Callithrix jacchus: one gene and its partners. The protein of the gene in region 2 binds, or shares a complex with, the protein of the main gene of each other region. Links are inferred from orthologs where the notes say so. Each region holds a gene or a part of one and is shown on either strand. Other genes may lie near its edges.

Region 1 (3,988 bases), on a different chromosome or scaffold from region 2:
TACACGATTTCAATTTGCCCCATTAGTGGTAATGGTAACTTTGATCACTTCATTAAGGTAATGTTTACCAGGTGCGCCATTGTAAAGTTACTCATTTTCCCTTTGTAATTAAGTAGAGTTTTGTGGGTTTTCTCAACCTCAAGTATTAAAATTCTATTCAAAGAAACAGTTCAGCCAGGCACTGTGGCTCACGCCTATAATCCCAGCACTTTGGGAGGCCAAGGCGGGTGGATCACGAGGTCAAGAGATCGAGACCATCCTGGTCAATAAGGTGAAACCCTGTCTCTACTAAAAATACAAAAATTAGCTGGGCATGGTGGTGTGCGCCTATAGTCCCAGCTACTCGGGAGGCTGAGGCAGGAGAATTGCTTGAACCCAGGAGGCAGAGGTTGCGGTGAGCCGAGATCATGCCACTGCACTCCAGTCTGGGTAACAATAGTGAAACTCCGTCTCAAAACAACAACAACAAAAAGAAACAGTTCAAATGCCACCTCCTTCAAGCTTTCCTAGCTCTTCAATTTCTCATTCCCCTATCCTGTAGAACCTTTTCCACTTTTATCAGTATTTAATTTTGTCTTAAATAGTAGGTGACTGTACTAATTACCATCACCAACTATAGTTTACAAGCAATAAATAACAGACTAGAGCATTAGGGATCTGGAGTCAGAAGACTTAAGATTCAAATCCCAACTTTGTCACTAAAAACTACGTGACTTCAGGTAAATTAGTGCATCTCTCCGAACATGATCCCTCAACTGGAAAATAGAATGAACAATCCTCACTGCATAAATGGTTGAGAATTAAATAAATCACACTGTGTAAAGAATGTGGCAGAGTCCCAGACTCAACAAACGTTAGCTAGCACCATTTTTTGTCATTCTTGAACATTAGAGCCCTGTGTTCCATGTACCCACTTCTTCCCTTCACTTCTTTTATGATACTAAATTTAATTTTATTAAAATAATACCAAAAGGTGGCAAGAACAGTACAAATAGCTTTCTTTTTCCCAAATGATTTGACAGTAAGCTGCTGACACAATGCCTTTTCACCTCCTAATACTTTAGTGCAAGAGTTGGCAAACTCTGACCTGTGGCCAAATCTGGCCCCTCCACCTGTTTTTGCAGCTAAGAATGCATTTTACTTTTTTATTTTTTTGAGACAGAGTCTCACTCTGTTGCCCAGGCTGGAGTGCAGTGGCATGATCTCAGCTCACTGCAACCTTCACTTCCCAAGTTCAAGCAATTCTCCTGCCTCAGCCTCCCAAGTAGCTGGGATTACAGGTGTGTGCCACCACACTTGGCTAATTTTTGTTTTTAGTAGAGACGGGATTTCACTATGTTGGCCAGGCTGGTCTTGAACTCCTGACCTCAGGTGATCCGTCTGCCTTGGACTCTCAAAGAGCTTGGATTACAGGTGTGAGCCACCACACCTGGCCGCATTTTACATTTTTAAATAGTTGAGCAAAAAGTACCAATGTTAATACAGCCAATGGCCAAGACGGCACCTTGTGTAAGTAGGAACTGGATAAATGTTAACTGAATGGGATGTTTAATTTTAAGATGCTGGGCCGGGCGCAGCGGCTCACGCCTGTGATCCCAGCACTTTGGGAGGCCAAGGTGGGCAGATCCCCTGAAGTCAGGGGTTTGAGACCAGTCTGGCCAACATGGAGACCGCATCTCTAAATTTTAAAAAAGAAAAATTTAAGATGCTGATATTTCTTGCATTAGACTGATACCTCCATCTCCCTCAATGCCACCTGCTGGGTGCTCAATGTAGATAGATAATTAAAGCTCTAAGGACCAATAATTAAATGTAAATTATTATGGAAACTTTCACCTATATAGTGATTCTTTTTACTTCCAAAAAGCTACTGTTGCATTTATGCTTATCTCATTCTCCCAAGACCCCAATCAAGTAACTGAAGAAAGTTAGTTAGTTAATTAGTTAGTTAGTTATTGATTGATTGATTGATTGATTGAGACAGAGTTTCCTTCTCGTTGCCCAGGCTGAAGTACAATGGCACTATCTCGGTTTACTGCAACCTCTGCCTTCTGGATTCAAGCGATTCTCCTGCCTCAGCCTCCAGAGTAGCTGCGACTACAGGCGTGCACCACTCACTACACCCGACTAATTTTTTTTGTATTTTTAGTAGGGGGGGGGGTGTTTCACCGTTTTGGTCAGGCTGGTCTCGAACTCCTGACCTCAGGTTATCTGCCTGCATCGGCCTCCAAAGTGCCGGGATTACAGCCGTGAGCCACCGTGCCTGGCCGATTGAAGACATTTTTGTAGAAAGCTGTTCATGGAATAAGCCAAGCTAGTTACACAAAACTAGCGACTCATGGAAACAAACCTCACTGCGGCTTCCCGCTCCGATACAGGAGCTCAAAGGGAACGTCGGAGGGAACCTGGCATAGAAGGGCTGAAGGCGGCACAAATGGAAGAGGGAGTGAGCGAGGGGACTGGACAGTTAGAGCACCGCTCCTTCCTAGGGATGCGATTTTACGGACGGAGGCTATAGAGGTATCCCCAGAATCGAGGTGTGTGCGCTTCGGAAGCCTGGGGGAGACACGCGGAGGAGAGGGTCTTCCATTCTTTTTCCCGCTCCAGGCCTCAATTTACCCATCCGTAAAGCGAAAGGGGCAGACAGTATATAAGGCCTCTTCCAGATCTGACGCTCTTTAATTCCTGTCCCACCTGGAGCAACCCTTCCGTACCGCAGATCTGCTTCAACCTACCTCCCGCCTGCTCAGCTGAGAGTTCCTAGGCCGCCGCCGAAGACCGCGCTTCCGCCCCACGCCAAGGAAACGTCTGCGCCCGCCGCCAGAAAGGACCCCGAAGACGCCGCGGTCGCCTTTCTGCCCGGGAGGACAACCCTCTGCCTGAGGACCAGTTTCGAGGTATGCCTGCCGCGCAGACAAGAATTGGCACAGCGGAGCAGAGGGTCCCCAAGACGAGAAGCCTAAGACGTGGGCTGCTTTAAAGAGGGTGAGAACTGAGGACACACGAATCTGATCAGGCGCCTCGGGACCACCCGGAAAGGGGGGGCCTTCAGGCAGATCACGTGGTTAGGCTGTTAGAGAAGTTGCTGGGCAGCCACAGCTGCGGGGCGTGGTCTGTGCTGGGCTGCTCTACTGTTCTGGCTTATCAGGGAATCCCCAAACAAAGCAGGGCGACCAAGGCCGGGGCTGTTGGGGTGAAGGTCCGGGAGGCTGAGTAAGGGGGCGGAAGGGTTAGTTTTACTTATTAAATGTCTGGGAAGGGTTGAGAACTGGACACCTGAGTTCGGTTACTGACCAGCCCAGCCCCTTCTTGGCGTTCAGATTCCTCACTTTGGGGTAGGGTGGCTATGGGATTAGTTGAGGACCTCCTGCTTCCTTGCGCTGGAACTGTTCGTGATGACTGCCACAAAATCTAGCTCAACTCACCAGGAATCTGCAGTTCAGAGAGGTCCCACAAGTAAATGTCAGAACCCTGACTAGAACCCACGTAGAGAATCTCTCTGCAGGCCGGGCGCGGTGGCTCACGCCTGTAATTTCAGCACTTTGGGAGGCTGAACCGCGCAGATCACTTGAGGTCAGGAGTTCGAGGCCAACCTGGGCAACATGGTGAAACCCCGTCTCTACTAAAAATACAAAAATTGACCGGGCGTGGTGGCGCATGCCTGTAGTCCCAGCTAGTAGTCCCAGTCCTAGGCTGAAGCACGAAAATTGCGTGAACCCGGGAGGCAGAGGTTGCAGTGAGCCGAGATCGTGCCACTGCACTTTATCCTGGGCAACACAGTGAGCCCTGGGCTGGACAAAGGGATTTGGGGATTGGGTCATTGAGCTCCTTCCTCTGCTCCTTCTACTTGATTTCCTGCTCAGTCATTGCATTTGGTTTGGGTGAAAGTCTCCTTCCCCATTAAGGAGATTTAATGAGAATGAAACGTTATCCTCAGCTCCAGGGTAACTAACAAGAGTTCTGCTTTTGTGTGAGGTCCCCTGTCTAA
Region 2 (3,561 bases):
GGGGTCGGGGATCAGGGAGATGTGAGAGCCAGGCTACGGAGGTGGCCCCTGCAGAGGCCTGGGCTGGCTGTGGACACTGAAGGCAGCTGGGGCAGGTGGGCAGGGGACACTCACCTGGAGGGTGATGATGTCCTGCCGGGAGAAGGGCTCATCGCTTAGCAGGTCCCGGAAGTTCTTGGCCTTGATATTTAGCTGTTCCACTGCCTACAGCCAGGAAGAAGTGGTGTTACGATGCATGCCCCAAGCCTTGGCACAGGAGCCTGCGAGCAGGGAGGCCCAGAACTGGCACCATGACACCATTTGAGAGGCGAGGAACGAGAGAGACAGCAGTGTTCACCCCACTGATTGAAAGCAGTGGCCCCCACAAAGGCGGAGCTGGCTGGGCATCAGACGATGTGCCAGTTCAGCCTTGCAGCAACCTTCCTGCAGGAAGCTCTTGTCTACATATTGATCAGCAAAGTGGCTGGGCGAGCCACCCACCCACTCGCTGAAGCCTTCACTGACTACTTCCCATGCACAGGCATGGTGCCAGGCCTGTGGGCAGGGGCTGTGCACATGAGATGCCTGCACTCCTGGGGCCCAGTATAGCAGAGTCCTCAATCCACTACGAGGACCAACCATGCCAGTCTATGTAGGCTTCTGGCAAGAAGTAGCCCCTAAGGTCCCTGGAGCAGCGCTGGCCACCTATACTCCACCAATGTCCTGGTGCAGGACTGAAAATGGCACAAAGGTCGGGGCTTTCCTGCCACATAGGGCCTGTCCCGCCTCACCCCTGAGAGGAGGACCCATGTGTGAACATGGCTGCCTCCTCTCTTCCTACACCCACTCCCAGACAGAACTCCTCCAGGGGACAGCTCCTTCCTGGACACAACTGGCTCCATCGAGAGCCAGGGCCAGCACTCCTCTCACACCGTTCTCAGAGCACGGTGCCTTCCCAGCACCTAGGTTTTGCTGAAGATGCAGAAGGACCCCCTGCGAGATAAGGGTCCCTGCTTGCCAGCCAGGACTGCCTGATTCCAAAGGATGCAGCTCCCCCAACCCTATTCTTGACCTGCCTGAAATCTGGGAGGCTGTCATGCCAGAGCTTTGGCAGAGGCCGGTGCCTGTGGCTGTGACTGTAAACCCCACAAAGACAGGCCATGCCCGCAGCACAGCCCAGCCCATGTATCCTGGGAACACACAGCAGAGATCTCCCCACCGTGGTCTCCAGGCCCTGGAGCAAGGACACACCTCGTAGGCGTAGACGTTGCCGGTCGTCCTCACAGCCACGATGTGGGTGTTGTTGGTGAACACGGTGAACAGCACTGGGCAGTGGTACTTCCCTAGAGAGAAGGCACACACGGGGAGGCCAGTCACCTCTGTGGGCACTTGGGGCCAGGACAAGTCAGGACAGAACGCGGCCAAAGTTAGCGATGGGAGGAGGTGGAACCCCGTCAACTGCCAGAGTAGGGAACCAAGGGGACAGCTGCTTAGCCCCTCAAGCCCCTCCATATCATTAGGAAACTCCTATTCATCCCGCAAGGCCCAGTCCCTGCAGCATCTTCCTCACATCCTCCAGCACACCTCTGCTGACCGCCATGCTAGTCTCCTCCTCTTCTTGAAGTTGGCCCTCAGCAAGAAACAACCCATGCTCCAGTCCTGACGGCTCCACCTCTTACCCGCATTCCCCGCCAACCCCCTGCTCAGATCTTCCTTCAGAACTGCCCATCCCCTTGCCCGGCTACTGTCTCTTTTTTTGTTTTGTTCAGTTTTGAGATGGAGTCTTGCTGTGTCACCTAGGTTAGAGTACAGTGGCGTGATCTCAGGTCACTGCAACCTTTGCCTCCGGGGTTTAAGTGATTCTCCTGCCTCAGACTCCCAAGTAGCTGGGACCACAGGCATGCATGCGTCACCACGTATGGCTAATTTTTGTATTTTTAGTAGAGACAGGGTTTCACCATGTTGGCCAGACTGGTCCGGAACTCCTGACCTCAAGCCATCTGCCTACCTTAGCCTCCCAAGCCTTGGTTACTGTCTCTCTGCCTGTTAAGTCCCCACTGGGTGGGGACTTGAGCCCTTAGGGAGACCTCATCTCTACAAAAATGAAAATAAAAAAAATTAGCTGGGGCGGGGCACAGTGGCTCATGCCTATAATGCCAGGGAAGGTATGTCTGTGCCCAGGCAGGAGTCTGCGGCAGGGGCTGGAGTCTGTGATGGGCACAGGGGAGGCACATCACACTTCCTCTCTCCACTTTCATCCACGAAGAATAATTCCAATTAACAAAGAAACAAAGCAGACTGGCCTGTAATCCCAGCATTTGGGAGGCTGAGGTGAGTTGATTGCTTGAACCCAGGAGTAAACTTGGCCAACAGTAAAACCCTGTCTCTACAAAAAACACAAAAATTAGCTGGGTGCAGTGGTGGTGCCTGTAGTCCCAGCTACTTGGGAGGCTGAGGTGGGAGGATTTCTTGAGCCAAGGAGGCAGAGATTGCAGTGGGCTGAGACTGTACCACTGCATTCCAGCTTGGGTGACCGAGTGAGACCCCATTTCAAAAAAAAAAAAAAAAAAAAAGGAAACAAAAGAAAAGAAGCTAATTGCCATGTCAAAGTTTAAAAAAAAAAAAGCCAGACCTCACCCCTCCCTCAGTGGCTCCCATCTTGGGCAGAAGCCCAAGTCCTCCTGTGGCTCCCAGGGCCCACAGGACTGCTCTGCACCTGTCCCTGCCCCAACCTGTCACCACATCCCCTGCTTTCATCATTAGCACATGCTGTACCAGACATACTGGACTCCTGGCTGGGCACAGACACCCTCAAGCATGTGCCCACCTCGGGGTCTTTGCACTGGCTGTGCCATCGGCCCAGCCCTGCGCTCCCCTGAGCCTCTCATGGCTCTCCCTCCCTGAAGTGTGTCAGGGCGGCCCTCTCCTTGCTGTGCTCTCCACACGGAAGCAGCCTCTGGCATACCCTGCTGAGCTGCTCTCTGGCGTTCTTCCCCACCAGAACACATGCTCCTCTCAGCAAAGACTCAGCCTGTTGTGCTCTCTGCACATGGCAGGCACTCAATAAATATTTGCTGAATGAGAGACATACACTGCTGATCACAGACAGGGAGGCAGCCCACCTTCGGCCACCAGGGTGCAGCTCCCTGTCCTCCACCTTTGTCAATGACATGCTGAAGTTCACTCACTCATTTACCTGCGAACGCAGCATCAGCTAGGAACCGGGCTCTAGGCTCAGACAAGTGGGGCAAAAGGGCCATGGCCTCACATGCTACAGCATCTCCCTGGAATGCATGCACCCAGTGAGCATGGACAACCCCTAAATCATGGGATCTGCAAGGGCAGAAGACCTGTGCTAGAACCTAGGACAAGGTCAGCACCTGGGCAGGGGTGAGCTGTGTACCTCATTTAAGAATCTGACCACAAGAGCAGCGCAACGTGTGTAAGGGACATGAAGCAGGAGCTGCTGAGCTGGGCTGGGCTGGGCTAGGCCCTATGAGCTGTAGTGAGGAAACGCCCAGCCTGAGAGCTACCCGACAAATCCCTCCAGACCACCACATTCCCTCCCCAGCTGCTGCCCTA
Region 3 (4,198 bases), on a different chromosome or scaffold from region 2:
ATTAGTTTACAGGCTGATTAGGGAAACCTCTCCGAGAAAAGACCCTTCAGCTGAGACCCAAACACCAAGGAGCCAGATACGTAAGCTCTCAGTAAAGACCTCGAGGACACAGCAGCAAGGACAAATCTCTTTGGATGGGGGAGGCTTGGCAGAACCAATGAGGATGGCATATGATGAATGAGGAGGAGTATGGTACAATATGAAGTCAGAGGGGGACATACAGTAAGGAGGAATAAGGTAAAACCAGCAGGTTATAACAAATAGCTTGGTTCTGAGTGCCAGGAACCACCTAACTCTATGTTTTATTGCAATTGGAATGATGCACATCAAATTCACTCCAGTAGGCTTAACATTAAAAGAGTGAAAATTATATGACTTCTCTATGGATCCTCTTACCCACCTTGCTTTTTTTGAAGTCAAAGCTTTATTTTCATTCAGCTTTCTTCCACCACTTTCTGTATCAAAATAGAAGTTATTTTAAAGGGTTACTTCTATACATTTAACATATAACATTAAGAAGTTCATTCTCTGACTTTCTGCCAAACTAGTAGCCTATATCTAATTTTTAAATCTTCATTTAACAGTCAGGTTATTAAGACGCTGCTTAAAAAGAAAACATTTATTAGAGAAACAATAAAAATTTGTATAAAATACAATCATTTTATTTTTCAGACTCAAGGTAGTACCTTAGGAATGGGTCTATATTTACTTGATATACTGTAAAATCTAGAACCCACTACTTCAGTGTCATAGACCTTGAATGTCTATGTTTCTTTTCTTTCCCTTCGAAAACATACTTTATGTATTTAATGATAATGAAGGTAAATACTTCACTGTAAGTAATTAATGATAATGAAGGTAAAATGGGTTAAAGGATTTATTCAAGAATATAAAAACCAGATTTAAAAAAATTTCTCCTCAGAAGAGCGGAGAAATTAAATGCAGTCTCTAAATAAGCTGAATCAAATCAAATATTATGATACTGTCACCACTTGACAATCATTTAATAATTTTGCTATCTCCTGATGTTAGGAACCTGTACAAGTAACAGAACTAAGTAGAAGATATTAAATAACTTGGGGACCCAGGATTCTTTCATGTTTAATAGACAAAATACTTTGAACACATTTCATTTTACAAATAACGTAAAAGATAAAATATTCACAGGAGTCTCTGGTTAAATTCCTATTTTCTAAAAGAAGAAATACCTGTGGTATTCCTAGCACCATCTTTCCATGTATCTGGAGTGATAACAGTACCAAGTTTCTTTTCACCTGTTATAATAAGATAGTAAAAAGCAATTTAAAATTTAGTATTTCATAAGTGCATCACATTGTGCCTAAGGTTCACAATGGTATCAACAGTCCTATTACTGCAGGAGCCTGTTAATGCTGGGAGAGCAGTCAGTGAACTGAGACTTGTATTAACTGTGGGCAATGAATGACTGATCCACAGTAAAATCCGTAGGATAATAAGATGGCTTATAATAAGCTTTCTCTGTTTGTTTATACTTTAAACAAATCTGGCAAGTCTATTTGTTCCATACATATTTACTAAGCATCTATGATGTATAAACTATACAAATTACTGAAAAAAATAAGTGATGAATCAGACAAAATTTTAAAGAGATTATAGTACAGTAGTTTAACAGCAATCTTTAATCTATGTTCCACAGGTCGATCTTAAGAGATATGTGAACAAGGCAGAATTGTACACAAACCTTTTATATATCTTTTTTTTTTCTTTCCTGGCAAGAGTCTATAGCTTTCTTCAGATTCTCAGAGAGAACCTGAGAATCATTCAACCAAAATATAAGCTAAAAATTAAACGGTGTAATAATTGAGAGCTAAAGTACTAGGTGAAATTCCATGCAGGAAGATATAACCCTGGCTAAGGAAATCCAAGAAAGTTTGGGGAGAAGGCAAGAGAGAGGATTTGAATATGTGGCAATAGGACTGTGAACAAAAAGGAGTAAAGAGGATAAAGGCAGACTGATAAAGGACACATTCTGAGGAAAGGCATGGAAAGCTCCGAGTACACATGGGCACAAAGGGTAGTTACGTTTGGTCAAAGTGTGAAGAGGGTAAGGATCAGTGAAGATGAAGCTGGAAAAATAAGTTGGGGCCTTATTGCGGAGGGTCCTGAACGTCAGGCTCCAAATACAGAATCCCCACATTGTTCTCTGCACACTGAGAATTTATTAAAGGTGTTAAATTAGGGAAATAGTAACTTGCACTTGCGTTGATGTTCAATTCACACATCTTCTGGGCTTACTCTAAGCCATATTCTGGCATAATGACTAACAGGAATGAGTAAGACGAGGTCCTTGGTCTTTGGTTCTAGTGTGTTACATGAATAAAAAGGAAAGGTCAGGAATTGCAAGAGGGAAAGGTGTGATTGGGGTTTAACTGAACATTTTTATACGGGAGGGGAGCTGATGAGATCTGGAGCTGGGGGAAGGCAATGGAAATAGACAAGGAGATGCAGAACTAAGACCATTCTGAAAACAAAATATACTATAGGACTATATGGTCTTTGGGGAGGTGCAAAAATGGTCAAAGGGTAGAGCAGAAGGACAGCGACTAGAATCAAAGATGTGGGCGAAGAAAAAACAAAAGAGAAGGCAGAGTTCCCGGGAGAGTTCATTTAGGTTCCCCCAGTTTCTTCCTCCCGCAGGAGGAGCCCCTTAACTCACATTTTTCGCAGACCATCCTTCCCCACGACGGTTCCCCTAGCCGCAACAGCAGCAGCAGCAGCAGCAACAGCAGCCCGAAAACATCAAAACTAAAACCCGGACGGCTTCCCCTTCCGGGCTACGTCAACCCACTTCCGGCTTCTAAGCACGCCGCTCCGGTCTAGCCCAAACTTGGAAGGCCGCGGGAGGAATGAACGGGAGCGTCTAGGCGGGGCTGCCCCATCTGCCCGCCCCTCTCTTTCTGCTACTGGCTATGCGGCCCTGGATCTCCGCCCCTTAACCCTGCGCTTGCGGGTGGGCCTGGGTAGCACGTCGTACCTGATGGTAGGAGGCAGTAGTTCCCCGCTTCCCTTCCGCGGGTGGGAGAGTTAGGTAAGCCCCAATGTACGCCCCCGGCGATCTCGCCCCCCGGGGTGCAAGCCACCCCCGCGAACTGCCGTAGCAGCCGTGAGCCTTGGCGTCCCGGCCCGCCCGCTCTCGCCCTCAGCTCGAGCGCCACTCTTCCGGCGTGCTCTGATGGACAGACCCCCCCTTTCGGATCCGAGTTTCTGCCTCTGTCCCCCAGTTTTCCCTTGTCTCCAACTCCCGTGCTCTTTGATCCTGCCTCTCTGCTGGTTCCTGGCTGTCGACGCTCGCGCCGGCCTAGGCTCGGGCAGAATCCCGAGCGACCCAGGTTGGGGTGGGGCTGCCAGTGAAGGTGCGGCGATGCCCGCGAGGGCTCCTCTGGGGGCCGCTCGGAAGCGCCGTCTCTCTGCTGCGGTGCCTAGCGAGGTGGGCCAGGTCATACCCGTGGCACCCTTGTAGGTGTCCTGGGGGCACGCCAGGGCCTAACACGGTGTGGGTTTCCCAGGAGAGTTAGTTTCCCACTTTACATACTCTGGTTCCTTCATTCGTTCAGCAAACATTTGAGTTTGGTTCCTGCTTATTGTAGGAGCATCTCCTGTTGGCAGCTGCGATTCCGAGGGTGGCTCAGAAAAATGGATGAAGGGTTTGTTGTGAGGATGGATTCCTGATGATTGCCCTCCCTCAATCAGCTTAAGATAGAATCTATAGGAAACTTTCCCTTTGTCCCTTCTTGCCATCCGTTTCCTTCTCCATCCCTTTATTTCGTTGTACCAGAGAGAGGGCTGTAGCTCTTGAGAACTTGGACCTCCTTACCTGTTTGTCGTGTTTCCTTATCAGTAAAGTATCTGCCTTTGAAAAGCATTGGGTGAATTAAGTGAGAGCAATTTTTTAAATTGCATTTTAGGTTTTGGGGTACATGTGAAGAACATGCAAGATTGTTGCATAGGTACACACGTGGCAGTGTGATTTGCTGCCTTTCTCCCCTTCACCTATTATAAGGTCCAGGTGTTTTGAAACAAATACATTGCCCATAGGAAATTGACTTTATGACTTATTTGTAGGGGTTGAAACATTTTGGACAATGGAAAAAGTCATTATTGCATATGCTCTTCTTGTTTTTTATTAGCTAGCCACCCAGGAAAACACCATGAAAGATAC

Evidence for each region. The genes of interacting proteins can lie anywhere in the genome.
Region 1: PPIL2 (region 2) and EFTUD2 share a complex: the UniProt entries of both Homo sapiens proteins name them as parts of the minor spliceosome. The link is inferred for Callithrix jacchus from reciprocal best matches to the Homo sapiens genes PPIL2 and EFTUD2.
Region 3: PPIL2 (region 2) and CRIPT share a complex: the UniProt entries of both Homo sapiens proteins name them as parts of the minor spliceosome. The link is inferred for Callithrix jacchus from reciprocal best matches to the Homo sapiens genes PPIL2 and CRIPT.

The regions. Positions count from the first base shown.
Region 1 is NC_133506.1:85,306,945-85,310,932, forward strand, and holds the start of EFTUD2 (116 kDa U5 small nuclear ribonucleoprotein component), read right to left. Parts: upstream 2,811-3,988; 5' UTR 2,736-2,810; intron 1-2,735. UniProt on the Homo sapiens protein: Required for pre-mRNA splicing as component of the spliceosome, including pre-catalytic, catalytic and post-catalytic spliceosomal complexes. Component of the U5 snRNP and the U4/U6-U5 tri-snRNP complex, a building block of the spliceosome.
Region 2 is NC_133502.1:193,648,637-193,652,197, reverse strand, and holds part of PPIL2 (RING-type E3 ubiquitin-protein ligase PPIL2), read right to left. Parts: intron 1,323-3,561; coding exon 1,231-1,322; exon of another isoform or gene 211-1,230; intron 205-210; coding exon 115-204; intron 1-114. UniProt on the Homo sapiens protein: Has a ubiquitin-protein ligase activity acting as an E3 ubiquitin protein ligase or as an ubiquitin-ubiquitin ligase promoting elongation of ubiquitin chains on substrates.
Region 3 is NC_133515.1:68,132,458-68,136,655, forward strand, and holds the start of CRIPT (cysteine-rich PDZ-binding protein), read right to left. Parts: upstream 2,811-4,198; 5' UTR 2,712-2,810; coding exon 2,696-2,711; intron 1,275-2,695; coding exon 1,209-1,274; intron 456-1,208; coding exon 401-455; intron 1-400. Other genes in the region: PIGF (GPI ethanolamine phosphate transferase, stabilizing subunit), read left to right, coding at 3,212-3,466, 4,167-4,198. UniProt on the Homo sapiens protein: As a component of the minor spliceosome, involved in the splicing of U12-type introns in pre-mRNAs. Involved in the cytoskeletal anchoring of DLG4 in excitatory synapses.